Canis lupus familiaris: one gene and its partners. The protein of the gene in region 1 interacts with the protein of each later gene in a pairwise test. Links are inferred from orthologs where the notes say so. Each region holds a gene or a part of one and is shown in the gene's direction. Other genes may lie near its edges. The genes, in order: CREB3, MFSD5, SYNGR1, APOD, STX8, AQP5 and ABHD16A.

Region 1 (4,109 bases):
GAACACTGGATTTAGAGAACAGAAATAAAGAAGCTAGAATCCCAGATACCTGCAATTCTAGTTGAAGCCCAGATCCCTAACCTGAAATGAGTTTATCCTATCTCTGGGCTAGAGAACCCCTGAAACTACGTAGGAATGAGACCTCCCTGCAAAACGAGAGCACCTACCTACTGCCAATCTCTTAAATTCAATATATCCAAGGTCAGCTACCCTAACCTCAGCCATAACCCCCATAAAACTAACCCTAATCCCTAATATTAACCCTGACCCTAATTTGGTTCCTGTTTCCCAACACTGGCTTTGACATTCATCCCTTTCCTGGCAGACACCCGTCCCCAATCCTTGATCCCTAATATTGATCTACTTTTTACCTCTAGGAATGAATTTCCTGACCTTAACTCTAAATGTTGATCTCTAAGCCTAAAACTGTTGTCTCACTTGACTTCTGATCCATCCCTTCGCGATTTATCCCTAGTTCCATGCTAATGTTCTCTAATCCCTAAAAAACTGGACTTCTAATTTAAATCCTGTGTTGACCCTTAAACCGGCCCTGAACCCTAACTTTGACTTACGTTGGCCAGAAACAGAATAATGACCTAATCCAAACTCTACCTACATAAAACGGACCCGACTCACACTGGTAACTCTAAATGTCAACTCCGGTTTTTAACTCCGTAAGCTAACCTTTAATTCCTAAACCCAACTCTACCTAATTCCCAAACTCACCCCCAGCTTTCCTACCCGCATACTCACTATCAGCTAACCTCAAAGCCGATCCCCGCCCTGCGCCTCACTGTCACCCAACTCCTCACCCTCCCCAAAACTTATTCCAGACAGAGAGGACTTGATCCCAGGAAAGGCTTGGCTCCCTTAAAACGACCTACTTAACTTCCGATCCCAAGCCGAGATACACTGGACGCTGACCTCTCCAACAGGACCCGAAACAGCGGACGCAAGGGCCCCGCCCGCCCTGCCACCCGCGCTGCCACCCGCGCTCGCGCTCGCTTCCCGGTCCTGGCCGTGCGGCCCCACCCTGAGGCTCCGGCTCGGCCCGGTCCGGCCTACCTGCGCTGCCCGGCTCGTGCCCCGCCCGCCGGCCCGATAACCCGCTCGCTCTCCCGGTGGTAATCGGGCTTCGGCCTCGCCCTCCCTTCGACACTCTCTCGGCCACTTCCGTCCCCGGAACGTCCCCCACCCGCGGGCGGCGCCCTGGGCCCGCGCTCTATGGTTGTGGGGGCAACAGGAAGCTGCTCTGGCCCCAGCTCTCGATGCTCGGGAGCCGGCCTTAAAAAGGCGCCCCCCCCCGCCCCCCGGCCGGCTCCCCCGGCAGGAAACAAGGGTGCGGCGCAATCCGGGAAGACGCCCGAACTGCGCGCGAGTTCCCCTTTGGTCTCTAACCCTTCCTTTTTTTTCAGCCTGGGGCCGAGGCGGAGGCGGCCTCCCAGATTGCCCGCCCTCAGGGTGTGAGGAGGCCGCAGGGACGTCCCCTCTATTTGCAGAGCTCCCGGGACGTGGCGCGCCGCGGCTAGGCCACTTCCGCGTCGGAGGGAACTCCAAATCCCGTGGTGCCTCGGGGGTGTGCGCGTCACTTCCGTGGTGTTGGAAGTTGCGGAGAATCGGGTCTTGGGGGCTGGTGCAATTTCAGAGCGACAGGTCCGGGCTTGCGGATAGGTCTCTCTGTACATCTTTCCGGTTGTTATCCGGTATGGAGCTGGCGTTGGACTTGGGTGACCAGGACCTGCTGGATTTCCTGCTAGAGGAAAGCGGCGATTTGGGGGCCGGGCCGCCGCTTTCCGAGGTGGGTGGGGGCTGCGAGCCGGGGAGGCGCGGGGATCCCGGGAGAGCGTTCATGGGGTGGTGGGTAGTTGATAGGTCAAGGCTTGTTTATTTGAACCCTGTGCAGGCGTTGAGTGAATGGGAGGCAGAGGATTTCCTGAGTTCCATGCTGAGTCCCCCAGCATCGTTGAACGTCCTTAGCTCCTCTGATTCCTGTCTCGTGCACCATGATCACACCTACTCTCTCTCACAACAGCATGTTTCCATAGATCTAGGTGAGTCTGAAATATGATGAGGAAGAAAGTGAGGTTTGAGGGGAGGAGAGGCTTCGTGGGTCTGGCTATTTATACTTTTCGTTTTGCAGATGGTGGGAGCTATGGAAAAGAAGAGGCCCAGACGACCCCACTGCAAGTGGAGGAGCCCGCAGAGCAGGTACTTGATTTATGGCGGGATCATTCCCACATTGCGCGGGTGGGGGCGGATTCCCCATTCCTTTCTGTCATCCCCTTGCAACTCTGCTGCCCACCTCCTGGTAACTAATCCCAGGAGATTGCTAGGCTGATACTGACAGATGAAGAGAAGAGGCTGTTGGAGAAGGAGGGGCTTACTCTGCATGGGACGCTTCCTCTTACTAAGGTAAGACTCCCATTGGTGGGAGTGAAGGCTGGAGGGATGTGTTGTGGATCCCAAGTGTGCACTTCTGTTAACTTTATGTCAGGAAGGACTGAGGTTAGAAAACTTGGCAAATTTGTTGGTAATAGGAAGCTGGAGCATGATGTTAATATGGTGGATGCAGAGGCAGATCCTGGTTTTGTGGGGCTCATACAAGTTTTGGTGTTTTCTTTGAGAAGAATTCAAAATCATCGATGCAACATTAGTGTAGGGTCTTGGAAGGGACTGTGCAAGCAAACTCATGGTAATCCACCTGTAGCTAAATGGTTAGAGTTCATCAAGGCTGGACTAAGTAATATAGCAAGAATAATTGTAAAATCCCAAGTTTTAAGTTTCAGGCAATGAATAGCAGCTTCACAAGCACAGTATTGTGGTACTGTTGTGAAACCAACACTACAGGAAGGTTGAGAGAATTTTCTTAAAAGTACAAGATGGGTTAGTTTGAGATGACAGAGAGTGGGGTTTGAAGGCTGTATCAGTAGAGGTGTTGCCTCTAGAAGGGCAGTGACCATCTTCTTCTCCATTATACTGGCCAGAGCACATCTTAGTGTCTAGTTTTGAACCCAGATCTTTGACAGATATTAAGAGGATGCAGTCCATCCCGAAGAGAGGTGAGAAGTTAATTTTTTTTTTTTTAAGATTTTACTTATTTATTCATGAGAGACACACAGAGAGAGGCAGAGACACAGGCAGCGGGAGAAGCAGGCTCTATGCAGGGAGCCCGATATGGGACTTGATCCTGGGACTCCAGGATCGTGCCCTGGGCTGAAGGGAGGTACTAACCTGCTGAGCCACCCAGGCATCCCGAGAAGTTAAAATTTTTGCCCAGATCTTTTAACTCTGAAGAAATGTTAAATGGCTTAAATTAAAGACTGTTCATTCTGGGATCCCTGGGTGGCTCAGCAGTTTAGCACCTGCCTTCAGCCCAGAGCGTGATCCTGCAGACCCGGGATCGAGACCCACAGCAGGCTCCCTGCGTGGAGCCTGCTTCTCTCACTGCCTGTGTCTCTGCCTCTCTCTCTCTGTGTGTGTGTCTCTCATGAATAAGTAATAAGATCTTAAAAAAAAAAACAAAAAAAAAACCTTCATTCTATATGGTCTCAGAGATAGGTACCAGGTAAGTTCAATTGATAGAAATCATAGAGGCAGATGTCGGTTAGCTTAGGATAAGGAAAATTTAAAGATTTTTTTTTAAAGGTTTATTTATTTTAAATCTTTTTTTTTTTATTTTTATTTATTTATGATAGTCACAGAGAGAGAGAGAGAGAGAGGGGCAAAGACAGAGGCAGAGGAAGAATCAGGCTCCATGCACCGGGAGCCCGATGTGGGATTCAATCCCAGGTCTCCAGGATTGCGCCCTGGGCCAAAGGCAGGCGCCAAACCGCTGCGCCACCTAGGGATCCCGGTTTCCTTATTTTAAAGAGAGATTGTGCTTGTGCATGCAAGCAGCAGGGTGGGGCAGAAAGCAAGGGAGAGAGAATGAAAATCTCAAGTGGACTCCCTGTTAATCACAAAGCCCAACGCGGCACTCCATCCCATGATCCTGAGATCATGACCTGAGCTGAAGTCAAATCAGGAGTCAGACTCCTAACCAACTGAGCCACCCAGGTGCCCCAAGATTTTTTGTTTTGTTTTTATTTTTAAAGATTTTATTTATTTAT
Region 2 (4,288 bases), on another chromosome or scaffold:
TTACCAGCTAATAGGGGCCAGCACTTTTTAGACTAATTTATCTAGATTAATTTATTCATTTCTTCATCAAATGTTTATTGAATGCTTTTTACTTACCAATAACTGTTGGGGTTTTTTCTTCAACTTCATTTCTTTTTTTTAGTGATGTCTACACCCAACATGGGGTTAGAACTCCCACTTCCACCCCACCCCCAAGACCAAGAGGCAAATGCTTTTCTGACTGAGCCAGCAAGGTGCCTCCCCAGACCCCACTCCCCACCCCAGTAACTGTTTTAAGTACTGGAAACACAAGTGAACAAATAGATAAAAACCTTTAGGGAGAAGAGATAATAAATAAATAAAATACATAATGTGCCAGATGGTGTTAAGTGCTATGGAGAAAAGACAGCAAAGGGGAATGAGGCTGGAAGGACAGCAGGTAGATCTCTAGTGGAGGTGGCCGTGTTGCTGTTTTCAACAGGATGGCCCGGGAAGGCCTCTCTGATAAGGCAGCCTTGGAACAGGAAACCCGAGGGGCTGAAGGAGGGAATCATGTGGGTCTTTGGGAGAAGAACCTTGCAGGGCACAGTGTGCAAAGGCCCTGGAGGTCCCCAATACAGATGGAGTAGGAAGAGTCTGGAGAGAGGGATGCCTGGGTTGCTCAGTGGTTGGGCGCCTGCCTTTGGCTCAGGCCATGATCCCGGGATCCAGGATTGGGTCCCATGTTGGGCTCCCTGCATGGAGCCTGCTTCTCCCTCTGCCTGTGTCTCTGCCTCTCTCTCAGTCTGTGTCTCTCATGAATAAATAAATAAATCTTTAAAAAAAAAAAAAAGAGTCTGGAGGGAGAATTGTAGATAAAGTCAGAGAAGTGGCAGAGGAACCCGACACAGAGGGTTTCTAGGTCATCACGAAGGCCTGGGCTTCCATGCTCAGTGAGGTGAGAAGCCGTCGAGCCACTCTTAAATCTGGAGCACAAGGGAAAGAACCTTTCCAGGGGAGCACGGCTGGTAAGGGGCGAGAGGTGGGCTGACCCTTCGCCCTTTTTCCTCGGGCACTGCTCCCCCCTGACAGCAGGCAAAGAAATTGGGACACTAAGTGACGGATCTGGGGTTGGGGCCTCGGCCGGCTGCGTCCCCAGTCCCCAGGCCCTTGACCCACACCGCCTCCCTCAGGTGTCTGCGCCGCACCACGTCGGGGCCCAGGGCGCTACCGCGGGACCGGCCCGCGGAGGGCAGCCCGCGCGTCGGCAGGACTGCGGCACTGCCCTGCGACGGAGGAGAGAGAGGAAGTGGGTCTTTATGTGGAGGCGGCGCCGCAGGTACCCGGGAGTCGGAGGAGCGGCTGTCACGGGAAGGCCGCGGGGAGGGCCAGCTGCCGCCGCCGCCACCGCCCTGCTCGGCGGCCTCCGGGAGCCGGGGGCGGGGCCTGGAGCGCGGGGGCGGGGCCTGGGCGGGCCGGGGGCGGGGCCTGGGCGCCTCACCCCGTCACGTGACGGGGCCATCATGGCGGCGGCCAGAGGCCTCCCCGGCTCCCGGAAGCGGGCTGTGAGGGGCGGGCGCGCTGCTGGAACCCGAGCCCGAGCCGGAGCCGGACGTCGAGCGGGCTGGGCGGCGGGGCGGCCTGGAGCCGGACGCGTCCGCGGCGTCCCCGCAGCCCGGGGCAGCAGGTGAGCCGCGGTTGGGGCGAGGCGCGAGCAGGCGTGGCGGCGCGGGGGCGCCGGGCTGGGGCTCGGGGGCGCGGCGGGGGGGCCCGGGCCCGGGGTGCGCGCGCGGGACCCTGGAGCGGCCCTGGAGGCCGGCGCGGGCGGGACGCTCGGGGGCCCAGTGCAGCGGCCCGGAGAGCGTGGGGGTGACGCGCCTGCGGAGGCCGAGCTGGGCGAGGGCAGCAGCCCCTCCACCCGCGCGGCCGCCGTCGCCGTGTCGAGGGGACCCCCTCTTTGCTGCGCCGGGCGAGGGTGGGGCGGATGCTCCTTCTCCCCTCGCCCCGCCCTGCCCCGCAGTGTCCCGGGAGACCCGGCCTGGCGGGCCGCTCCTCCCACCCACCCAACTGGTCCCTCCGGTCCGAGCTCCGGGGGAGTGGAGCTGAGCGGCGGGGAAGTGCAGGTGGCGGGGGTGGGGTCGGGTGGGGGGTGGGTGCAGCTGCTTCTGCGTGGACACCCGCCCCTTGGCAGTGCTGCCCGGGCAATGGATGTAACTCCCACCCCCCCTTCCTCCCCTACCTAGGTCGTCCGGGGGCCCGCCATGCTGGTGACTGCCTATCTTGCTTTTGTGGTCCTCCTGGCCTCCTGCCTGGGGTTGGAGCTGTCAAGATGCCGGGCTAAGCCCCCTGGAAGGGCCTGCAGCAACCCCTCCTTCCTCCGGTTTCAACTGGACTTCTATCAGGTCTACTTCCTGGCCCTGGCGGCTGACTGGCTCCAGGCCCCCTACCTCTACAAACTCTATCAGCATTACCACTTCCTGGAGGGGCAGATTGCCATCCTCTATGTCTGTGGCCTTGCCTCCACAGTCCTTTTTGGACTGGTGGCCTCCTCCCTTGTGGATTGGCTGGGTCGCAAGAAGTCCTGTGTCCTCTTCTCCCTCACTTACTCTCTCTGCTGCCTAACGAAACTCTCTTGGGATTACTTTGTGCTGCTGATGGGCCGAGCCCTCGGAGGGCTGTCCACAGCGCTGCTCTTCTCCGCCTTCGAGGCCTGGTACGTCCATGAACACGTGGAGCGTCATGACTTCCCTGCTGAGTGGATCCCAGCTACCTTTGCCCGAGCTGCCTTCTGGAACCATGTGCTGGCTGTAGCGGCAGGTGTGGCAGCTGAAGCGGTGGCCTGCTGGATGGGGCTGGGGCCCGTGGCGCCCTTTGTGGCTGCCATCCCTCTCTTGGCTCTGGCTGGGGCCTTGGCCCTTCATAACTGGGGAGAGAACTATGATCGGCAGCGTGCCTTCTCAAGGACTTGTGCTGGAGGCCTGCGCTGCCTCCTGTCGGACCGCCGCGTGCTGCTGCTAGGCACCATACAAGCCCTGTTTGAGAGCGTCATCTTCATTTTTGTCTTCCTCTGGACGCCTGTGCTGGACCCACATGGGGCTCCGCTGGGCATTGTCTTCTCCAGCTTCATGGCAGCCAGCCTGCTTGGCTCTTCGCTGTACCGCATTGCTACCTCCAAGAGGTACCACCTTCAGCCCATGCACCTACTCTCCCTTGCTGTCCTCATCGTTGTCTTCTCCCTTTTCATGTTGACTTTCTCCACCAGCCCAGGCCAGGAGAGTCCAGTGGAGTCCTTCATAGCCTTTCTCCTTATCGAATTGGCCTGTGGGCTGTACTTTCCCAGCATGAGCTTCCTGCGGAGAAAGGTGATCCCCGAGACAGAGCAAGCTGGTGTACTCAACTGGTTCCGGGTGCCCCTGCACTTGCTGGCCTGCCTGGGGCTCCTAGTTCTCCATGACAGTGATCACAAAACGGGCACTCGGAACATGTTCAGCATCTGCTCTGCCGTCATGGTGATGGCTCTGCTGGCAGTGGTGGGACTCTTCACCGTGGTCAGGCACAATGCTGAGCTGCGGGTACCCTCACCCACCGGGGAGCCCTATGCCCCTGAGCTCTAGCCCGGTTCCAGGACAAGGGGGACTGGGAAGGACTCTCGAATCCCACCTCTCCGGGGTGGTATACAGATCTCTCCGTGACAGACTTTGCAACTGTCTGGGCCTCAGCCTGTCCTGGGGCCCCTCCTGCCAGTGCTTTGGGTTGGAGAGTACATGGGGGTGATGGCCTGGAAAGAAGATGCCACAAGTTGCCTCTGTGTTACTCCCTCTCCCCTTTCCATTTAAAAATAAACACTTTTAACTGGTCATTGATTGGATTTGCTCATCCTCACCTGCACCCACCTCAGTAGTTTCTGGTGTGTGGGCAGCCGGAGAGTTTGAGGCTGAAGGTGGGCTTATTAGCAAAAGGCATTTGTAGTTCTAGTCTCCAAGACTGTCTCCAGTTTAAACCGAGAGCTGTGGCATTGCCCCTTTGCTGAAATGGGTGGGGACTGCCTGAGGCTCCTGGGTCTTCTATATCTTGTTGCCCTGGGGACAGGTACCCTCTCCAGTTGCCCAGCAAGACCCTTGCTCCACAATCAGGGTGAGACAGTCTCTGGAGCAGGTGGTGTGAACAGAGATTCCAGGGGCTTGAGTTGCCTCTGTGACCACCCCTTGGGGCAAATCTGAAACCTTCCTGCAGAAACAAGCTTGCACCTCAGCACACATATGCTACCTGCCTTCTGTCTCTGTGGCAGAAGGGACTGTTTGTCCCGCACCACGTGCTCCCACCAGGTCCT
Region 3 (4,212 bases), on another chromosome or scaffold:
CCAGATCGTAGTTTGCCTTCATTCATTTTTGTAACAGTGACTTTTGAAGAGCAGTTCTTAATTTTTTTTAAAAATATTTTATTTATTTATTCATGAGAGACAGAGAGAGAGGCGCAGACACACAGGCAGAGGTAGGAGCAGGCCCCATCCAGGGAGCAAGATGCGGGACTCGATCCTGGGACTCCAGGATCACACCCCCTGGGCTGAAGGCAGGCGCTAAACCACTGAGCCACCCAGGGATCCCCCAAGCAGTTCTAAATTTTGATGAAGCTCAATTGATTAATTGTTTTCTCTTATGGATCATGCTCCACATTATACCTAAGAACTCTTTGCCCAACCCCAAATCACACAAATTTCTCTCATGTTTTCTTCTAGAAGTTTTATACAATCATAGCAGCTACGTCATGAGGTTGCTGTATCAAATGGGAGCACAGGGCCTGGCCCAGAACTGACCCTCAGTACACAGAGCCTAAGATGGACGTTTGCCTAGGTGATACTTGGAAGAAGTGCCTCACACCCACCACACACTTCCTCTGCACAGACCTATGTCCTTTCATCAGAGAATGACAAGACAGCAGCAAAACACATCCTTCTCCAACCCGATCCTGGAACCAAGGAAGGTCCCTGGACCACCGAGAGAGGCGGTTAGGACTACAGGTCATGGGAAGAGCCAGACCCAGAGGGTGTAACCAGCCCTCCTCTAGCCGGTCTGCTCCCATGACCCCTGGAGGCCTAGCCCAAATTGTGATGTGGTTCTGGGGACTAGGGTCTACTTCTTGAGAACCTACTGTGTGCCAGACCATTGGCTCCAACAGGGAACGAGACAGAACCCACCGAAGAGCAGAAGAAAACAATGAACAAATAAATACATAATTAGTGAATTAAGGAAAAGGATGGGGGGGGGTCCATACGTCCAATAAAAAATCTGCTGCCCTTCCTCAGCCTCCGCCTCTGTGCCAGGTGTCTCGGGCCCTCCAGGCTGGGGATGGGGGTGCGCAGACACAGGCGCCCGTGTGATGTCAGCCTAAAAGCCAGGTGGAAAGGTCCTGGGGAGGTGGGGGCTGCGCTTTGGGGGGTTATTCATTCTCGGTCATTCATTCAGTCGAGAAATCTGCATGCTGCGCGGGAAGACAAACGAGGCCCCCGCTGCTACGCTGGGGGGCACCCAGCGGTACGCACCGAGGGGCTGGGACGCCGCTATTTGGGGCGCGCCCCTCCCCACCCCGCCCCCGGCTCCGCGGAGGTCGCGGCGCTAGCGACGAGCGCGCCCCCCGCCCGGCCCCAGCACGCGCGCCCCCGCGAACCAGCGCGCGCCCCCCGCCCGCGGCCCCGCGCCCCCCGCGCACGACGCCCCCTGGCGGGGGCCCTGGGCGACGCCGGCCGCGCGAGGCGGGGAGGGGGCGGGGGCGCCGCGCACGCGCAGGGCCGGCGGCGCGCCGAGCTGGGGGCACCGCGCGGGTGCAGCCACGATGGAAGGGGGTGCGTACGGAGCGGGCAAGGCCGGGGGCGCCTTCGACCCCCACACCCTGGTCCGCCAGCCGCACACCATCCTGCGCGTCGTGTCTTGGGTAAGGACGGCGGTGGCCCGGCCGCGCGGGCGGTGGCGTGTGGCGCGCCCGGGCGGACCCCAGGCCAAGGTGCGGCAGCCGGCGGGGAGCCTTGCGGACGGGGTGCGGGCGGCCGCCGCGCCCTCCTGCCGGGGCCGGGGCCGGGGCCGGGGCCGGGGCGGGGGCGGGGGCGGGGGCGGGGGCGGGCTCGGCGCCCGGGTTCGCGAGCGGCCCCCCATCGCGGTGACCTCCAGGCCGCGGCTCTGCAGCTGGCGGCTCGGGTTGCGCGGTGCCGCCGGGCGGGTCGGCGGCCGTGGGGACTGAGCCCGGGGTCCAGGTGGCCCTTGGGGGGGCGGGTGGATCGGGGCGTGGATCCTCACCGGGGCACGCCGCGCCCGCCGTGGACGCGCGAGGAGGAGACGGCCGGAAACCCGGTTTGGTGGCTTAGCCCGGAAGGTACGGAGCGATGCGGCGGGGGCCGGACACCTGGCTTCCACCCGGGAGCTGCGTGACCTTGGGCCGGGAACCACCCGAGAAACGTTCCTGCGGGAAGAAGAGTTACGTCCCGAGGTGGGGAGAGGCAGCTCCTCTCTCATGCCTCAGTTTCCCGATTTGTTGAGAGGTGGGAGGAGCTACCTTGGGCTCTGATATTTACCCCCAAGCCATGACCGCGCCCCCCCCCAAGTACACCTGGATGCTTGTGGGGGGAAGATAGGGGAGAGGTCCTCTACCCACAGGGAAGAGCAGAGAGGCCTGGTGGGGGTCAGAATTCCCCCAGCAGTAGGGGGTCCCTGCTCAGAATTGGGGTTGTGGGGGAGGAAGCTGGGACAGGACTGCCAGCAGAGAGGGAGGGGTTCAGATGGTCTGGACAGCACCCAGGGGAAGAAGGCCTGCTGCGGGAGGGGGTGCCTGGGGCTCCCTCGGGTTTCCTAGCCATTACCCAGACACCCTCACTAGAGGGTCTCGGCTCTGCAGGCCTGGGGCCTGTTCCTGTGGGCCCACACCAGAAGGGTTTGGACTGGGGACACTGGGCAGGGTCACTGTCAGCAACCCCAAGGGGCTACACCTGAGGCCAGCTTAGCCTCAGGGTGCTCAAGGTCCCTCATTTCCTGGGTTTTCAGGGTAATATTAGGGTCTGATGGGTGGGACAGCTTGGGTGTTTATCTCTGGCCTCCCAGAGAGAATGGAAGCTAACTGTCCTTTGAAAACGTTAAAACCTCCTCCTGGTGCTACAAGAAGCATGGCCTCATGTAAACCCCTTTCTTCTCACGTACCCATCAGATGGGGAGCTCATTGAGGGGGGAAGCCCCAGTGGCACCACAGGGCCTGGCAGCGGGCTGCTACCCCAGGCACATCCATAAGGTTTTGTGGCACTGAATTCATTCACCTGTGCCAGTCTCCAGCTCCCCAGAGACCCCGACTGGCCCTTGGTAGAGCTGGAACTCTGGGGGGCACCTGTCTGGTTAGGTGGGCCAGCTCTGTGCTCTGCTTCCCTTTGCCAGCCCCTGGGCCACTGGCCCAGGAGGATGAAGCCACTGGCTTTGTGAGGAGGTGTGGGCAGTTTGCCTGCTTGGGTCGCTTCTGCCTGTGATGGCTTCATTTAGTAAAGCTTCAAGTCCACTGGGCCCCTAGGGAAGGCGGCATGACTCAGATCCAGCCGTTAGTGCTCAGGGATCCTATAGTCCCACTGGGAAGGGAGCCAGGTTCACCCCCCGCCCCCCCCCCCCCGCCTCCCTCAGGCATGAGAGCCAGCCTAGGGGTCTCCCCAGGCCATGAGAACCAGCCTAGGGGTCTCCCTGCTGCAGGAATCAGAGAGGCATCGTGGAGGTGATAATCAAATTGGGCCTTGAAGCATGAGCAGGGTTTCTGCATGTGCATGTCAGGGTGTGGGGAGACATCCCAAGCAGAAGGAAGGAAACTAACTGCTGGAGTACCCACCATGTGCAGGGGTGCACACACGGTTACCTAGCTAGGTCCCCCACTGCATCCCTTGAAGAAGCAGGCTCAGAGGGTCCTGAGGTTACAAGCATGGAGGCGACAGACAGAGGGTTCGAACCCAAATCTTGGAGTCTCCAAAAAGCACATCGATTGCTCCCAATCCTGAAATCCAGGATTGGAAAGGATAAAGGTCATCCGGGCCAACCACCATCTAACACCCAAATCCCCCCACAGCCTTCTAGCTCTGCTGACTTTACCTTTGTGTGAGGAAAGCTTGATGAAGCTTTACTAAATCTGCTGATACAGGCTGATTGACACCTTCAAAACATAGTTTTTTTTTTTCTGGTCACAAAAGTAATGCGTGATGACTTTTGGAAAATATAAACATCACTTCTGATGGTCGCACAACAACATAAAGGTACCGTACTTATACCACCGTACAGCTAAAAATGACTAAAATGGTACATTTTATGTCATATGATTTTTAACACAATAAAAACATTCAGGAAAAAGAAACCATGTGTGATCCCACCACTTAGGGAGGCGCAGTGCTTCCTTCGAGTCTTTTTCAAAAATATGTAGTGAGCTAACATGTTTTAACATGTTTTAACACGCTGATGAGCATGTGGAAGATGCACTTGATGACCCATCCTTTGCTCTGGTGCTCCCTGGGCACCCCACCTTGGGGTCAGGGAGGCATCAGGCTTCACCTTCAAGCTAACAAAGT
Region 4 (3,500 bases), on another chromosome or scaffold:
TTCCAATTAATATATTGACTAAGTAAATATATTCACATGGGTCCAAATTCTAAAGGTGCCAAAGAACATTCAATGACAAGTTCTTTGTCATTGAACCTACCCCTGGTTCCCTCCCTAGGAGCAACCAGTTAAAAACAGTTTATTGTGTATCATTTGGGAGATAGTGTATACGTACACAAATACATACATAAGTGCAGTAGGCAGAATGATGTCCACACCCTGATCCCTGGAACCTGCGAATATGCTACTTTCCACGAAAAGGAGGATTTTGCTGATGTGAATAAAGTTATAGACTTGGAGATGGCCAGAGAGCGTGGATTACCCAGTGGGCTCAGTCTAATTATTGAAAGCAGAGAACTTTCCCCAGCTGTGGTCAGAGAGGTGTGATGATGGAACAAGAGAAAGAGAGATACAATGTGAGAAGGATTTCACCCACTTTTGCTGGCTCTGAAGATGGAGGAAGGGGTTCAACCAGCCAAAGAATGTGGGTGGCCTCTAAAATGTGGACAGGGGGATCCCTGGGTGGCGCAGCGGTTTGGCGCCTGCCTTTGGCCCAGAGCGCGATCCTGGAGACCCGGGATCGAATCCCACGTCGGGCTCCCGGTGCATGGAGCCTGCTTCTCCCTCTGCCTGTGTCTCTGCCTCTCTCTCTCTCTGTGACTATCATAAATAAATAAAAATTAATAAAATAAAATAAAATAAAATAAAATGTGGACAGGGCAAGAAGACAGAGTCCCCTAAACCCCCTAGAAAGGAACACAGTCCTGCCAACACCTTGATTTTAATCAAGCTCACTTGATGTACACACCCATGAGACCATAAATTTGTGTTGTAAGCTTGTGGAATTTGTTATAGCAGCAATAGAAAATGAACATAATAACCTTTCCCCCCATTTTCCATATACTCTTATTTTTTACCCAGCTCTTTTTTTCCATTGAATGCATCTTGGATATAGTTGCATGACTCCTTTAAAGGAGGCTATATAACATTCGGTTGTTTGGTTGTGCCATACACATTTATGTACCCAGTCCCCTACGAATGCTCACTTAGACTCTAATTTCCTGTCTTTTGTTCTTACAAATAGCACTGCATCAAATAACCTCATAAATGCACTAGATGTATTTTCTTTGCTAGATATTGTCAGATTGCCCCCCATGCAGGTTGTAAATTGGAGCAGTCTCCATGCAAGGCAGTGCATGGAAGCATGAAAGTACTTGTCTCTCCTTACCGTCACCCACACCATTGCACACTTCCTTTAATGTTGACTCTGTACACGAAGCTATGAACGGAGACCAAGTCCCCAGTGAAAGAATATCAATCTTCTGAATCCTGATCACTTGCTAAAAGCCTTTGTGACCAACTCCCTGTCCGGGGTCTTATGAGGAGAATCAACCAACTCTGGAGTCCCAGTTCCCCAGAGTGACCATATCTGGCTTTGCACACAATTCAAAGATGCCTCGTAGAATCACAAAATATTTGAGATGGAACCTTACATCATCTGGACCGCTCCCTCTCCTTTACAGAGCCTAAAATTTCACATAGATTCTGGCTGGAGGGCCCACTGACATCATATCTAAATAAAGGTCACTTTAGGAATAAAATGTGGCATTCGACCAATGCCTGCAAATCTGACTCACTTACTCTCATTTGAATCAATATCTTGCTCAGTTGCTGTCGGGAACAGTGCAGCCCATTTTGCGTGGTTTCCCCAGGAAAGGGCTCTGCTCTAAAAGACGACAATAGGGAAGAGTTAGCAGGTCCCCAGAGAGCCACAGGGTTTTCTCTGCTTATTGTTATCTCTGCAGTATCTTGGACGATGGTACGAAATTGAGAAGATCCCAGTGAGCTTTGAGAAGGGAAGTTGCATCCAAGCCAACTATTCGCTAATGGAAAACGGAAACATCAAAGTGATAAACCAGGAGTTGAGGTGAGTGGCTGCGGTTTCAAAAGCAACACGGTCCCAGAGCCAGCCTGCAGAGAGCTGTCCCCGGGTGACTGGGTGTCCTTGCGGCCTAGCTCAGCGGGGAGGCAGACGTGGCTGCGTCTGCACTGACTACTCGCAGCAGGTCCTGAGATGAAGGCTTTTGGCAGGCAGGATGGTGGGGACTAGAGGCCACTCGCTTATTTGCAAGACCTCTTGCTGGGCATCTTACTGTATTGTGTACTTACTGTATTGTGTGTTCCCGGCGAGCACTTACACTTATTCTGGGCCTGTTGTGTGTGTGCCCCTGTAAAAGGTACTGGGGACTCAACGGGAATCCAAACTGCAGGGTTCCTGCTCTCCTTGCAAAACAGACACGCTGGTAGCAAAGGGCAAGTGAGACTTTGATCTGATCTGATCTCCAAACCAAGAGAGAAGCTCTTTCTACCTCATCGACTGACAGAGGGCATCCAGCTCGGCTTGAACCCTCCCAGGAACTGGTTGCTCATGGCAATTCATTCAGCCGTGACGACTAGAAGACGCCTGTTCTCATTAAGCAAGAATCAAATACATTCATAGCCACACTCTAGGGTTCGTGAACAGGATAGCCTTTAGAAGTATGCTTTTCTGTTTCCGAGAGCTTCTAACCGAGTTCTATTTCGATAGAAAAATTCATACTTTAGAAAGCAAACATAAACTTTAAAAATGCCCCAGGAAGACCTCCTACCTACCTTCCATCAACAAAGATAAGAGCAGGGATGCCTGGGGCCTCCGTGGTTAAGCAGCTGCCTTCAGCCCAGGGCGTGACCCCAGGGTCCCGGGATCGAGTCCCGAGTAGGGCTCCCTGCAGGGAGCCTGCTTCTCCCTCTGCCTGGGTCTCTGCCTCTCTCTCTCTCTCTCTCTCTCTCTCTGGGTCTCTCATGAATAAATAAATAAAATCTTAAAAAAAAAAAGATAAGAGCAACAGTAAACAATAGTGGCAAATATTAAGCATTTCCTGCGTGCAAGGCGCTATTCTGTGAGTGTACGTGTATGTGCACGCGTGCACCTGGGTGGATGTGTATGTAAACGAGCATGCGCCTCCGGGCCCTGAGGCAGGTACTCTTAGTAAGGCCACTTTTCTAGATGAAGAAACAGAGGTACAGGGAGGGAAGGGAACTCGCCCGATGGCCGCACCGCTTATAAGCAACGAGGCCGACGTTCAAGCCCAGAGAGCAGGGGAACGTGGAAGACAACAGCCGCCGGGAGAGAGGGCTGGGACCAGGGCCGTCCCTCCTGTCCCCTGCGGGATCTGGGAACTGTGTCGGCTCCAAGGAAACCGCCACGGCGCAGCCTGGAAGGCCCTGCGGCTCCGGGAGGCTTTGCGGCCGTCCTGGTCCCCACCAGGCTTCCTGTGCCCGACCGGGGGTGGCCCCTGGCCCTGCAGGAATCCGGGAAGCGAAGTCACATCTTAGCGGCCTAGAGAGAGAGAAAACCGGCTCATCTCAGAGCCCGGGCACGGCGACCGGGCCCGGGTGCAGGCGCATCGAGGCTGCGCCCCAGGAGTTGTCCTGGTCTGCGACGAGGGTCAGACACGGCC
Region 5 (3,500 bases), on another chromosome or scaffold:
ATTCCTCAATGATTCCAGTGGGTAGCACATTTCTAGAACCTCCGCTTGTCCAGGGCTAACGTGAGAATGTGAGGATTGGGAACAGAACGTCTGGGATTTTGACCTGCATTTCACAGGACCTCTTCAAGGGCTCACTCCCCTACATCTCTAAAGCCCTCTTGTCAAGTCTCACCCGATGATCCTGGTGTTCGAGTCTCTGCAGAAACTAGCTTCCCCGCATCTGTGACCCTGTGATACTGTATCCTCCTACCTAGGGCCACTCAGCCCAATGTGCCAGGCCTGTTTCCTTCCTTTCACCTTTGCTTGTTTCTTGTGTCTTTGGCCCAGTCCAGAATGTGCCTCTCCCTCCTGCCTCTCAATCTTGCAGTTCAGCCCAGAATATAATCTCTTGGCCTAGTCCTGTCAAATCTGAGTGCCTCGGCCGCCAGTGATTTCTCTCATTTCCACACTCCAGAAGGACTTACCAGTTATGTTCCACAGTTGGTAGGAGCTATAGCATACATCATTAGTGATTTCCACAAGTATGGTCTAGGAGCACAGAGCCAGACCTAAGTTCCTCTTTTCAGAGAGGACAGTATGGAGGGGAAAAAGGGGAATGTGGCAAAGCTGGGGCTAGGACCCAGTTTCCTTACCAACTTCCTTCCTGTTATCTTTTTTTTTTTTTTTTTCTTTTTGGGGGGAGAGGCAGAGAGAGAGGGAGGGAGACAATCTCAAGCAGACTGCATACTCAGCACAGAGCCCTATGCTGGGTTTGATCTCATGACCCTGAGATATGACCTGAGCCCAAATCAAGAGTCAGATGCTCAATTGACTGAGCCACCCAGGTGCCCCTTCCCTCCTGTTTCCTTAATTATGTATTGTATCACCTGCTCTTCTTTGTGAACATACGCACACTACACATGTATACATATGCACGATGCCACTTTAGTGTGTAGTGGGAAGTAGTTAATGATCCTACCTCATGGGATGTGAAGTTCAGAATGTAACACTCTTAGCCAGAACTGGCCCAGATCCGTACTCAATCACTATACTACTATTGCTGTAATCACTATAGTAAGATTGGTAAGAGAAGTGACTGAAGATTGTTCTTTTTCATCACTGAAAAACACATTTGCTAAGTTCCTTAGGTATATGAGTAGTGAGTGGGAGTTCAAAGATTTTAAGGAATGGATTGTTTACCTTCTCAAGCAAAACTTGGGACATTGGGTAAAACAGCAGTTTTCAATATTTTGTACTGGGAAAATATGTTGATTGTATCGAACTGACCACCTGGTAGATGAAACACAACGTATAGGTGCACTTAGCTCTTCTCTGTAAAACAAATAGAAAATAGAAAGGCTGTTACAAACGGACCCACGAAGGGGTGACTGGGAACTCACTGTGAATTTTTCAAAGCCTCCAACACTTTGAGTACTAAACAGAAACCCAGCAAATGTTTTGAGAGAATTCTCATAAGCTTAGATGTCAGGAGGGTGTGTGTCCTGTGTCTCCAGAGCATTTCGTTGTAGGATAAACAGTACTTGCTGTTCTTGTTTTACATGTAAAGCTCTTCCCAAGATAGCTGCCTGGCTGGCTTCCTCACCTTGCCTGTCACTCTCTGCTCTTTAATCCTGCTTTATTTTTCTTCTTCACACATACCAGCACTTGACATACTACATATTTATTTATTTTATGCCTTTCTCCCTTTGCTAAGCTCCTAGAGCAGGGACGTTGTCCATGTCGTTCACTGCTCTGCTCTCCAGGGCCTGGAACAATACTCGGTACAGAGGAGGCCCTCCGTAAACATTCACCGAACATTCTTTAAGTCAGTGAATTCAAACATGTTACCATCTGCAGAATGGTGTCTTTAAGTCAGTGAATTCAAACATGTTACCATCTGCAGAATGGTGAAGTGGGTAGGAGCCCAAACTCAGGGCTGGGCAGCCTTGGCTTGCTGCTGGGGGTATCACTTGGGCAGGTCTCTGTACCTCTTTGTACCTGATATTTCCTTACAGGTGGGGGTGGTAATGGTACCTGCCTCCTGGCATTTTTTTTGTGGATTAAGTGAATTAAAAATGAAGCATTCAGAATAGATCCCTGCTCATAATATTTACCATAATAGCAACACATGTCCCTATGACTGTTAACTATTACTACCCTTCCTTCCTGTTTGAATTTGTGGCTAGAATTAAAAACAGAAGCTCAAAAAAAAATTAATTAAAATAAATTAAAAAAAAACAAAGCTCAGATGACACAGAAATCTTCTTTCAAAGAACCTTAAACATTCTTTTCCCTTTACGACTTTAATGCAGGTTCTCCACATACGACTCTACCTGCCAAATTGCACAAGAGATTGCCGAGAAAATCCAACAGCAAAATCAGTATGAAAGAAATGGTGAAAATACAATCAGGGTAAGACCAGGGGAAAATTAGTACCTGAAATGATTTGTTTGAGCTCTGAGGTCTGAAAACCCTCCTACTGCTGAGGCTGTGTGTGTGTGTGTGTGTGTGTGTATGTATATGTATAAAATGGACTCCAAACTTACATGTGTGGAATTGATATTACAACCAATCAGTTAATCGTTATAACTGAGACTAAGTGAAGCATGACACCTGTTTAATTTCTCCTCCATAACCAAAGTTTCTAACAATTTCATAGTCTGGGTCAAACCCTAGACAGTAAATCTTCCAGACTTTGCAGAACAAGAGGTGACATCTTCACCTCTTGGAGTAACTGTTCTTGCCAAAAGGATCGTGGCCTTTTTTTTTACATTTTACATGGAAAAATGTAAATAGTTTGCAGGCTGTACAAAAACAGTGGCAGGATTTAGCTAGGAAATCTATTTTTTAGACACTCAGGAGTTCATACTAGCACCTTTGATTTGAGTCCAGGACACAAGTTTCTTTCTAAACTTCCCCACTCAAATTCATATTTTTCCTTTCCAGCAGTCAGAACTTTGGTTTCCAAAAACAGTGATATCTTTTTGTTCATTTGATCTACCATATAGTTTACAGAAAACAGTTTCAGAATTACTGCGCAGGTGCCACCACAATCACTAAGTCTGAATTTGTCTTATTTTTTTTAAGAACTAGTATCCCACTAATAATACTGAGGTTATTCTGTTCTAAAGTTATTAGAATGGATTCCTTTTTTGTTTTCCTTTTTTATGCTATCCTTAGCATCTGTTTATATTCTTTTTTTTTTTTTTGCAATCTTTAACCCCCATACTTATCCGCCTCCCCCCCCCCCCCAACGTGGTAACCACCAGTTTATGCTCTATGGTTAAGAGTCTATTTCTTGGTTTGTCTCTCTCTCTGTTTTCCCCTTTGTTTCTTTGTTTTCCCTTTGTTGGTTTATTTCTTAATTCCACATAAGAGTAAAATCATGTGGTATTTGTCTTTCTCTGACTTATCTTACTTAGCATTAAACTCTTTAGCTCCATTTATGTTGCTGCACATAGCAAGATTTAATTCTTTTTATGGCTGAATAATATTCCATTGTGTATGTGTATTCTGTTGTG
Region 6 (4,267 bases), on another chromosome or scaffold:
GGAGAGCCAGAGGAGAGCAGCCTGGAGTTCAGAGGGAAGGGATGGGAACAGGAGGAGGAGGATGGGAGCGGGAAGAGAGCATCACCCAGTCCAGGGCTGGAAGGACTAGAAAAGACTACACGTAAGAGAGATGGGCCATGGAAGCCGAGGTAGAGGGCACCTGGGGGGCTCAGTTGTTGAGCATCTGCCTTTGGCTCAGGTCATGATCCCGGGGTCCCGGGGGGGACCCACGTGTGGGGGACCCACGCTCAGCCAGGGGTCTGCTTCCAGGAGTCTTCCAGGCCTGGGGTGCCTGGGTGCCTCAGGAGGTAGAGCATGCGACTTTGCTTTTCCCCAAGATTTTTTATTTATTTGAGGGAGAGAGAGAGAGAACGAGCAAAAGCACACAAGCAGGCAGAGGGGCGGACGGAGAGGGAGAAGCAGAATCGCTCCTGAGCAGAGCGGGACGCGGGCCTGGGTCCCAAGGGCCCTGGGATCATGACCTGAGAGGAGGGCAGACACTCGCGGGACTGAGTCACCCAGGCGCCCCCGCATGCGGCGCTTCATCTCGGGGCTGTGGGCTGGAGCCCCACACTGAGTGTAGAGATGACTTAAAAATAAAATCTTAAAAAAAAAAAAAAAAAAAGACTGAGAGTTTGAGGGAAGGGAAGACGAAGGAGAGTGGAGGAGGTGAGCTGCGGGAGTTAAAGGAGGGGGGGGGGGACCAGAGTAGGGGGCCTCGGAGGCCGGGAGGTCAGCGGGGCGCCCGCGCCGTCCCGTCCCCGCAGCGCACCGCCACCCCGACTCCCGGGGCTCCCCCGACCCAAACCAAAAGTGAAGTCGGTCGCGCCCCCTCGCGTCCCGCCCCGCACCCCGTCGGGGGCTCGCTGGGAGGCCGCGGGGCTCGGGCGCCGGGAGAGGGCGCCTCGGGGCTGCGGGCTCCGCCGGCCGCTCGCCCGGGACGCCCCCGCCCCGCCCCCGCCCCCGCCGGGCAGGGAGCGGAGCGGCGCGGGCCTCGGAGAGTCGCACGGCTCCAGCCCCGCGGGCGGTGAGGCCGGGTCGGGATGCCCGGGCCGCGGGAGGGAAGGGAGGAGCCGGCCCCAGAGCCCGGCGAGGCCGGGGGAAGGGCGGGGACGCAGGCACTGGGCCCGCGGAGGTAGGCGCCGGAGCCGCAGCACGCTCGAGGCCGCGGCCGCGGAGTCGTCCAGGGACGCGGCCCGGAGCGCGGGAGCCGAGCGGCGCGCACCATGCGCGGGTCCGCGGGCGCCCGGCCCGTCTACACCGCCGCCGCCTGGGTCACGTGGCCCGGGCGCGTCCGCGGCGGCCCCGGCGGGGGGGCGGGCGCGGGGGGGCCGGGGGCGCGCGGGGCCCCGGGCCGCGGCGAGAGGCTGCCGGCCGCCGGGGCCGCCCCCTGCCCCCCCGCGCTCGCCCCCCCGCGGGGCGCCCGGCCTCTATATAGCGCGCCCCCGCCCGGCCCGCGCCAGGCCGCCCGCCAGCACGCCCCGGGCCCCGCGCCCCGCAGCCAGCCCCCCGCGCCCCCCGCGCCCCCCGCGCCCCGCGCGCCCCGCGCCCCCGCGCCCCCCGCGCCCCGCCGCCGCGCCCTCGCGGCCACCATGAAGAAGGAGGTGTGCTCCGTGGCCTTCCTCAAGGCCGTGTTCGCCGAGTTCCTGGCCACCCTCATCTTCGTCTTCTTCGGCCTCGGCTCGGCCCTCAAGTGGCCGTCGGCGCTGCCCAGCATCCTGCAGATCTCGCTGGCCTTCGGGCTGGCCATCGGCACCCTGGCGCAGGCCCTGGGGCCCGTGAGCGGCGGCCACATCAACCCGGCCATCACGCTGGCCCTGCTGGTGGGCAACCAGATCTCGCTGCTGCGGGCCGCCTTCTACGTGGCGGCGCAGCTGGCGGGGGCCATCGCCGGGGCGGGCATCCTCTACGGGCTGGCGCCGCTCAACGCCCGCGGCAACCTGGCCGTCAACTCGGTGAGTGCCCCCGGGCCGGCTGGGCGGGGGCGCCCTGGGGTGGGCTCCCGGCCGGCCCCAGACAACATCTGGGGCGTGGGAGCAGGCCCGCCTGGCAGGTGGCGGGGCCGAGCTCCGGGCTGGACGGTGCCCGGGGTGCCCGGGGTGCCCGGGCTCGGCCTCCCTGGTTCGGACCCACGTCCTCCCCTGCCGCCCTCCTGCTGCTCCTCTGGCCTCCCTCCTGGAGCCGGCTGCCTCTCCTCTCTCTGCCCGAGACTTCTGGCTTTCTGCTGTCTGGCTTCTGCCCTGCGCTTGGGACCCTCGCTGCTGCTGTCTGCGCCGCACTGGAGTGGTTTCGCGGAGCCGTCAGGGGTGGGTTGTAATCCCGGCTTTGGGCCCCCCTCGCCCCTCTGGGCCCCACCGTTCTCAGCTGCTACACCGCGGTGGTCATCACCTACCGCAACAGGTGTCAAGGGGGTTACATCTAGAAACCGTGTGTGCGGTGCCAGTGTGTAGGGTCTGTTGAATACGCGTTCCCACTCCTGGTCCCCTGCTCTCACCCCCTTTCACGGTCCCATATTCAGTCCCCATGTCCCATGTAAACTGGGTTCATTAATCAAACACAGAGGAGGATTTTCTCGGCCATTGTCAAGCCGTGAGTCAGCCCCACCGGAGAGACGGGTTTGAGGTTGGCACTGGCAGCGGGTCAGACACGGGCGGGAGGCAGGCTGGGGGTGCAGTAGGCAAACTGGGCAGCTGCCCACAGGAGGGAGGGTAAATGCCAGCTTGTGGGGGTTGGAACTGGGCAGAACCGTTGACAGGACCTTGTCCAGGAAAAGCTCCCCTCACACTCAGCTCCTTGGCCACCGACCGGCCTGGGCTCCAAGCTTTGTGCACAGGGTCAGGTAGGTAGTCTTTTCAGCAAATGACCTCTCTGACGTGCGCAAGGCTTGGCTTCCAGGGACAGTGGCTCTAGGTGTCCCTGGAGGCCAAAAGCCTCATCCCCCGAGCCCCTGGCCATAGAGCCAGAAGGCAGGGGTCCTAACCCACCCTCCCCTTGCAGCTCAACAACAACACAACCCAGGGCCAGGCTATGGTAGTAGAGCTGATTCTGACCTTCCAGCTGGCACTCTGCATCTTCTCTTCCACCGACTCCCGCCGCACCAGTCCTGTGGGCTCTCCGGCCCTGTCCATCGGCCTTTCCGTCACACTGGGCCACCTCGTGGGGGTGAGCAATGCTGCCACTTGGTTGCAGCTGTGGGGAGCCCCCCAGGGCAAGTAATGGGGCTCTAGAGCAGCACCCCTCTGAACCAGGGAACCTAGCAGTTAAGGCCTGGAGCGGGGTTGCTATACTCTGTCCCAGGCTGGATCCCCCCAAATCTTCTCTAGTCTGAGGAAATATGGCAGGAAGTGTGAGTTGGGGGAGGTGGGGAGGCAGGAAATCCAGCCCGAGCACAGGACTGGAGAAGAAAGAGGGGTCCATGGGGACCAGTAGAGGGAGAGCTCACCAGCCTAGCAATTGGGAGACTAGATTCAGAGACCTGGCTGAGCCACTGAACTTCTGGGTGGCTCTGGGAAAGACCAGGCCTTTAGGAGCCGACAGGCATGTTGCCCTCCTCACTGCCGCCTCCCTCTCTCTGCCCAGATCTACTTCACCGGCTGCTCCATGAACCCGGCCCGCTCTTTCGGCCCCGCAGTGGTCATGAAGCGCTTCAGCTCTGCTCACTGGGTGAGTCTGGGCCCCCCCTGGCTCCCTGGCAATGAGGGCCTGGAAACCTGGCCAAGAGCTCCCTGGATCTTCTGGATGCTGTGGGCCCGGAGCTCGGGGTGGCCTTGAGAGGCGTGGCTGGAGAGAGATCGAGATACAGACAGGGATGGGACGCAGCCAGAACAAGGACAGGGGGAGTTAAATGGCAGAGGACCCTGGTTTAGGGCTGGGGTGGGGCGGGGCAACCCTGGGTAGCTGTACCTCTAAGGAAGGGAAGGAGATCGGTTCCTCTGTGTAGATGTCTGAGGATTTTGCGTCTGTCCTTCTGGGGTGGGGCGACCGGGGGCAGTGTGTCTGAGTGTCTGTCCTCTCTGATGTTTTATATATCTGTTCCTGCCCAGGGGGTTCAGGGAGTCTTCCTTCTTGTGGGCCTGTCCCTCTGCACAGTCTATCTGTCACCTCTGCTGAGAGCTCATGTTCCCTCTCCAGGGTCTGTTTCGTTCCCTGTGTGGGAGGGAGAGGAGTTCTGTGGTCTCCCCGGGAATCTACATGTCTCCTTCAAAGGGTCACTTGTCTCTCTTTAGAGTGAGGTTGGGGGGCCCCGTCCTCCTGGGGATCTGTCTCC
Region 7 (4,081 bases), on another chromosome or scaffold:
GGAGCCCGACATGGGACTCCATCCCAGGTCTCCAGGATCAGGCCCTGGGCTGACACGACGCTAAACCGCCAAGCCACCTGGGCAGCCCTCTAAATGGTTTTTGATGAAATATTCCATGCATACCAAGGACTGTATCGAATGTAACATAATGAGTAAAAGAAGCAAGAAACAAAGGGCATCATTTGCATGATTCCATTTACATAAAGTACAAAATTAGTCAAATCTAATCTATGAGGTTAGAAACTAAGATAGTGGTTACCCCTTGGCGGGGGAGGTAGTGATTTGGGGAGGGTCTTGTAGATGTGGTATAATGTATTCTTGATCTGGATGCTGACTACATGGATATATTCAAAAGGTGCACTTTTCTGTATATGTGTTTACTGCAATAAGAAGCGAAAGAATTTATATATCATGTAGGTGTAAGGTACAAAGGAAAATAAACCAAACCTGAATATCTATTAAATGTGTTACTGGGATCCTTGATGGCTCAGTGGTTGAGCATCTGCCTTTGGCCCAGGGCATGATCCTGGAGTCCCGGCATTGAGTCCCACGTCGGGCCCTGCATGGAGCCTGCTTCTCCCTCTGCCTGTGTCTCTGCCTCTCTCTCTCTGTGTCTTTCATGAATAAATAAATAAAATCTTTTAAAAAGTATTACCATTTCAAAGATCCTCTATGCTGTGTTACACTATTCTAAATTTGCTCTTCAACTTTCACTTGATCATTAAATTTTCTTTTCAAATGTTATACAGATGCATATGTATCGTGATGGTTGCGTGTAATCAATCTGTGGCTTTATTTTTCCCACTAAACAATACATTTGAGATTTGTCTACGCTTAGGAGCAAGAATTCCTCCTTTTTTTTTCTTTTTTTTTTAACCGGTATTTTACACACCCTGATAATACTTAGTCCTCCTATCCATGACTGCGATGTAGCTCTATATTTATTCAAGCCTTTGGTCACCTCTTTCAAAAACTTCTGTAATTTTCTTCATAAAATCGTGCATTTCTTTGGTTAGATGTGTTCCTAGACACCTTTTCTTTGTGTTGCATCTTATCCCTCGTTCCCATTGTCGTTCAAGAGCCTGCCAATATTAAGGGATGGGAAAAAGTGACTTAATCCTGATAATCCCCTACCTCGGCGCGTTCCAAACGCCTCCAACTAATTTCTGACCACGGCTCTACCCGTAGGTCCAACTGCGCGAAATCCGTCTCAAGCAGCGCGGAAAATGTCTCTACAGGGCTCGAGGCGGAGCCGGTACGTGCTGACGTCAAGGGCACGCAATACCTTCGAGGCCGGGGAAGGGCGGGGTCGGAAGGGGGACTTGCTGCTGGGAGAGCAGCGGCGGGAGCGGGGGCCATGGCGAAGCTGCTGAGCTGCGTCCTAGGCCCCCGGCTCTACAAAATCTACCGGGAGAGGGACTCGGAAAGGGCCCCGTCCGGCGTCCCCGAGACTCCAACTTCAGTCACTGCCCCCCCTTCCAGCTCCTGGGTGAGTCGAGTTCTCCCCGGGTCGGAAACATGGTACGGCCCAGTCCCCTTCGCGGCCTCTGCTCCCCGGAAGCGCCCATTATTGGAAATCGGGGGAGCCTGCTTGTCGAGCCAGGTGTCTGCGGAGCGCTCCCTGCGCCTCCTGGGTTAAAGTCACGCCCGCGGATCGCCGGCCTCCTCTGTCGCTCTTCGCCACCGCTTTCCGGTTCCCACTAGCGCTCCTCGCCTTTCCCTCTCGCGGCCCCCACCCCGTCTGTCGTGGTTCGTGCTACTCCCAATTGCCTGAGACCCTGCGCCAATTCCAGAGCTGGGTGATTTCTTCTGACTCGGTGCCTTCCCCAGTTCCGTTTTATCTGCCTTCCACACTGTCCGTGAAGTTAGATGGCTTCGACAAGTCACGTACGCGCGGCCTCCCACCCCGCCGCCCAGCCAGCCTTGGAGACCCCAGGGTGGTCACATTAGGAAAGCTGGGGTGAAAAAAAAAAAAAAAAAAAAAAAAAAGGAAAGCTGGGGTGGTGGGCGGCTGTGTCCCTGTAGGCGCTCTGCCTTTTCACGGGTAGTCTCAAGCTGTTTATTGCGCCCCGGGACGGCCCGCCCTCTGCCACATTCTCTTCCTTAATCACCCTGTTATTTCTGATCTTATTTCCCTCTTAAAGTTGTCATTGTGTCTTTCCTTTCTTCTCTCACTCCTCTCCCCGTTTGCACCTGCCCACGGCCCATTTGAAACTGGGTTGTGAAAAAGGAACACAAATCCTTCGGTGAGGCTTTCAATTTTGCTCCCAAGTCCGGCCTCCTATGTTTTCATGGTCTGGGGTAGGAAATCAGGCTTGGAGGAGGGGTTAGTAAGAGGGATTTCTTTGGGAGCCAGGAATGTCGCAGGAGGGACAGCTTCAGAGGCTAGAACCAGAGGACACAACGTCAGGGCTTTCAAAAGGGAAGGCGAAGGACTGGTCAGTGGACATGGTCCTTGACTCCGCCATCTGTTTTGGCAGGATACGTACTATCAACCCCGTGCCTTGGAGAAGCATGCTGACAGCATCCTGGCACTGGTATGTCTGCCCTCGCATCTGGGACTACTGTGTCTTTTCCCACCCAGTTGCCCTCGGAACTTTCTCCTCCCTAGCATGGGAGAAGGCAGCGCCCCTGGGGTGGGGAATGCTCCAGCCTCTGCTGCCAACCTCTCCAACCACATGGACCCACTCTCAAGCACCCATACTTGGCACTCCACCTTGGTGTGTGCACTGCTTTCTCTGGGGCAGCCTGAGCCCTGAGGAGAATGCGTTTCCCCTTGGGACCATCTGCAAGTGCTGAGTCCTGTGGTCCCCAGTGACCTGTCCTCCCTGGCTACAGGCAACTAACCTCCTTGGCTGCAAAGACAGCTGTTTTCTCTGGCAGGGTTCCTATGGTGACGTTTGTGCATCTCTTGGAGACCAGGCCAGGCGCTGTGCTGAGCAGGGCTGATTGGAAAGGTTTGATTGACTTGAGTAGAAAAAGAAACTGGCCTTTAAAAGCGATGAGATTATGTCTGGAGATAAGAGGAAGAAAACAGAACCTGTACCTAATTTCCCCAGCCTCCTTTCTGCTCTGATACATTGCCTTTCAACAGATATTAAGCACCTACTGTGTCATCCACAGAATAGGTACTTGATGTGATTGATCTCCCTCAGGTCCTCCACTTTGCTCAGAGCCTAGGCCTGGAAATGGCAGACTTGTGTGTGGGTGCGTGCGTGTACATGTGTGCACATATGTGCATGTGTGTGCATGTGTACTGATTGCTTGTCCCTGTCTCTCTGCTGCAGGCTTCAGTCTTCTGGTCCATCTCTTATTACTCCTCTCCCTTCGCCTTCTTCTACTTATACAGGAAAGGTCAGTGTGGCTTCAAAGGTGGTGGGCAGGTTGTTGGCAGATGAGCCAACCTCTCCAAAGAGGAAAGGGGACCTACGGACATGGCTTGGCTTTCCTCTTCCATCAGGCGTCTTCTTCCTCCAAGGGCATGGATGTCCCAAAGAGAGAATATGGGGCGGAAATTGGGCCTGACCTGGGAAGAGATGCCAAGGGGCAGTGGGGAAATTTCTCACATAATGCCTCTCCCCTCCCAGGTTACTTGAGCTTGTCCAAAGTGGTGCCATTTTCTCACTATGCGGGGACATTGCTACTACTCTTGGCAGGCGTGGCCTGTCTCCGAGGTAGGTCCAGAGGGAGCCTGGCTTGGATCTATATTTCCCGGGGTAAATATTTATTAAGTAATTTTGCAAATATATGGTTTGGGCCCTGAAAGGGAATAATTGGGAATGGTGAAGACGTGATCTTTTCCTTAAAGGGCTTGGTTGTAAGTATGAAAAAAACACTCATTGGCAGAAAACTGCTGTTATCTGAAGAAGATGCATATACCCTACAATAATTCCATACATGTCCATGTAGATGTTTGTCATAATCTGAAACTGGAAACAAGTCCATGGCCACAAATAGGATGGATATGTTAGAGGTCTAGTTGTGCAACACAACACAACACAGCATGCAAGTGAGCGAATTTAAACTACGCTCAGCAGCAAGAACGGGTCTCACAACTGTAAGGTTGAATGCAAGGAGCAGA

Evidence for each region.
Region 2: the proteins of CREB3 (region 1) and MFSD5 interact in a two-hybrid assay, tested with the Homo sapiens proteins (2 studies listed by BioGRID and IntAct). The two-hybrid records come from large-scale screens. The link is inferred for Canis lupus familiaris from reciprocal best matches to the Homo sapiens genes CREB3 and SLC61A1.
Region 3: the proteins of CREB3 (region 1) and SYNGR1 interact in binary tests that used the Homo sapiens proteins (3 or more experiments, as listed by UniProt). The two-hybrid records come from large-scale screens. The link is inferred for Canis lupus familiaris from reciprocal best matches to the Homo sapiens genes CREB3 and SYNGR1.
Region 4: the proteins of CREB3 (region 1) and APOD interact in binary tests that used the Homo sapiens proteins (3 or more experiments, as listed by UniProt). The two-hybrid records come from large-scale screens. The link is inferred for Canis lupus familiaris from reciprocal best matches to the Homo sapiens genes CREB3 and APOD.
Region 5: the proteins of CREB3 (region 1) and STX8 interact in a two-hybrid assay, tested with the Homo sapiens proteins (3 studies listed by BioGRID and IntAct). The two-hybrid records come from large-scale screens. The link is inferred for Canis lupus familiaris from reciprocal best matches to the Homo sapiens genes CREB3 and STX8.
Region 6: the proteins of CREB3 (region 1) and AQP5 interact in a two-hybrid assay, tested with the Homo sapiens proteins (2 studies listed by BioGRID and IntAct). The two-hybrid records come from large-scale screens. The link is inferred for Canis lupus familiaris from reciprocal best matches to the Homo sapiens genes CREB3 and AQP5.
Region 7: the proteins of CREB3 (region 1) and ABHD16A interact in a two-hybrid assay, tested with the Homo sapiens proteins (2 studies listed by BioGRID and IntAct). The two-hybrid records come from large-scale screens. The link is inferred for Canis lupus familiaris from reciprocal best matches to the Homo sapiens genes CREB3 and ABHD16A.

The regions. Positions count from the first base shown.
Region 1 is NC_049232.1:52,553,935-52,558,043, forward strand, and holds the start of CREB3 (cyclic AMP-responsive element-binding protein 3), read left to right. Parts: upstream 1-1,309; 5' UTR 1,310-1,705; coding exon 1,706-1,798; intron 1,799-1,903; coding exon 1,904-2,051; intron 2,052-2,140; coding exon 2,141-2,208; intron 2,209-2,322; coding exon 2,323-2,412; intron 2,413-4,109. UniProt on the Homo sapiens protein: Endoplasmic reticulum (ER)-bound sequence-specific transcription factor that directly binds DNA and activates transcription. Plays a role in the unfolded protein response (UPR), promoting cell survival versus ER stress-induced apoptotic cell death.
Region 2 is NC_049248.1:44,704,709-44,708,996, forward strand, and holds MFSD5 (molybdate-anion transporter), read left to right. Parts: upstream 1-1,488; 5' UTR 1,489-1,528; coding exon of another isoform or gene 1,529-2,064; intron 2,065-2,201; 5' UTR 2,202-2,219; coding exon 2,220-3,572; 3' UTR 3,573-3,817; downstream 3,818-4,288. Other genes in the region: translation initiation factor IF-2-like, read left to right, coding at 1,152-1,397, 1,529-2,064. UniProt on the Homo sapiens protein: Mediates high-affinity intracellular uptake of the rare oligo-element molybdenum.
Region 3 is NC_049231.1:26,671,115-26,675,326, reverse strand, and holds the start of SYNGR1 (synaptogyrin-1), read left to right. Parts: upstream 1-1,412; 5' UTR 1,413-1,469; coding exon 1,470-1,637; intron 1,638-4,212. UniProt on the Homo sapiens protein: May play a role in regulated exocytosis. Modulates the localization of synaptophysin/SYP into synaptic-like microvesicles and may therefore play a role in synaptic-like microvesicle formation and/or maturation.
Region 4 is NC_049254.1:31,201,636-31,205,135, forward strand, and holds part of APOD (apolipoprotein D), read left to right. Parts: intron 1-1,641; exon of another isoform or gene 1,642-1,726; intron 1,727-1,805; coding exon 1,806-1,927; intron 1,928-3,500. UniProt on the Homo sapiens protein: APOD occurs in the macromolecular complex with lecithin-cholesterol acyltransferase. It is probably involved in the transport and binding of bilin. Appears to be able to transport a variety of ligands in a number of different contexts.
Region 5 is NC_049226.1:34,293,742-34,297,241, reverse strand, and holds part of STX8 (syntaxin-8), read left to right. Parts: intron 1-2,291; coding exon 2,292-2,391; intron 2,392-3,500. UniProt on the Homo sapiens protein: Vesicle trafficking protein that functions in the early secretory pathway, possibly by mediating retrograde transport from cis-Golgi membranes to the ER.
Region 6 is NC_049248.1:41,910,841-41,915,107, forward strand, and holds the start of AQP5 (aquaporin-5), read left to right. Parts: upstream 1-1,467; 5' UTR 1,468-1,592; coding exon 1,593-1,955; intron 1,956-2,997; coding exon 2,998-3,162; intron 3,163-3,579; coding exon 3,580-3,663; intron 3,664-4,267. UniProt on the Homo sapiens protein: Aquaporins form homotetrameric transmembrane channels, with each monomer independently mediating water transport across the plasma membrane along its osmotic gradient. Plays an important role in fluid secretion in salivary glands.
Region 7 is NC_049233.1:1,319,044-1,323,124, reverse strand, and holds the start of ABHD16A (phosphatidylserine lipase ABHD16A), read left to right. Parts: upstream 1-1,281; 5' UTR 1,282-1,357; coding exon 1,358-1,489; intron 1,490-1,596; exon of another isoform or gene 1,597-1,869; coding exon of another isoform or gene 1,870-1,887; intron 1,888-2,480; coding exon 2,481-2,537; intron 2,538-3,287; coding exon 3,288-3,354; intron 3,355-3,587; coding exon 3,588-3,674; intron 3,675-4,081. UniProt on the Homo sapiens protein: Phosphatidylserine (PS) lipase that mediates the hydrolysis of phosphatidylserine to generate lysophosphatidylserine (LPS). LPS constitutes a class of signaling lipids that regulates immunological and neurological processes.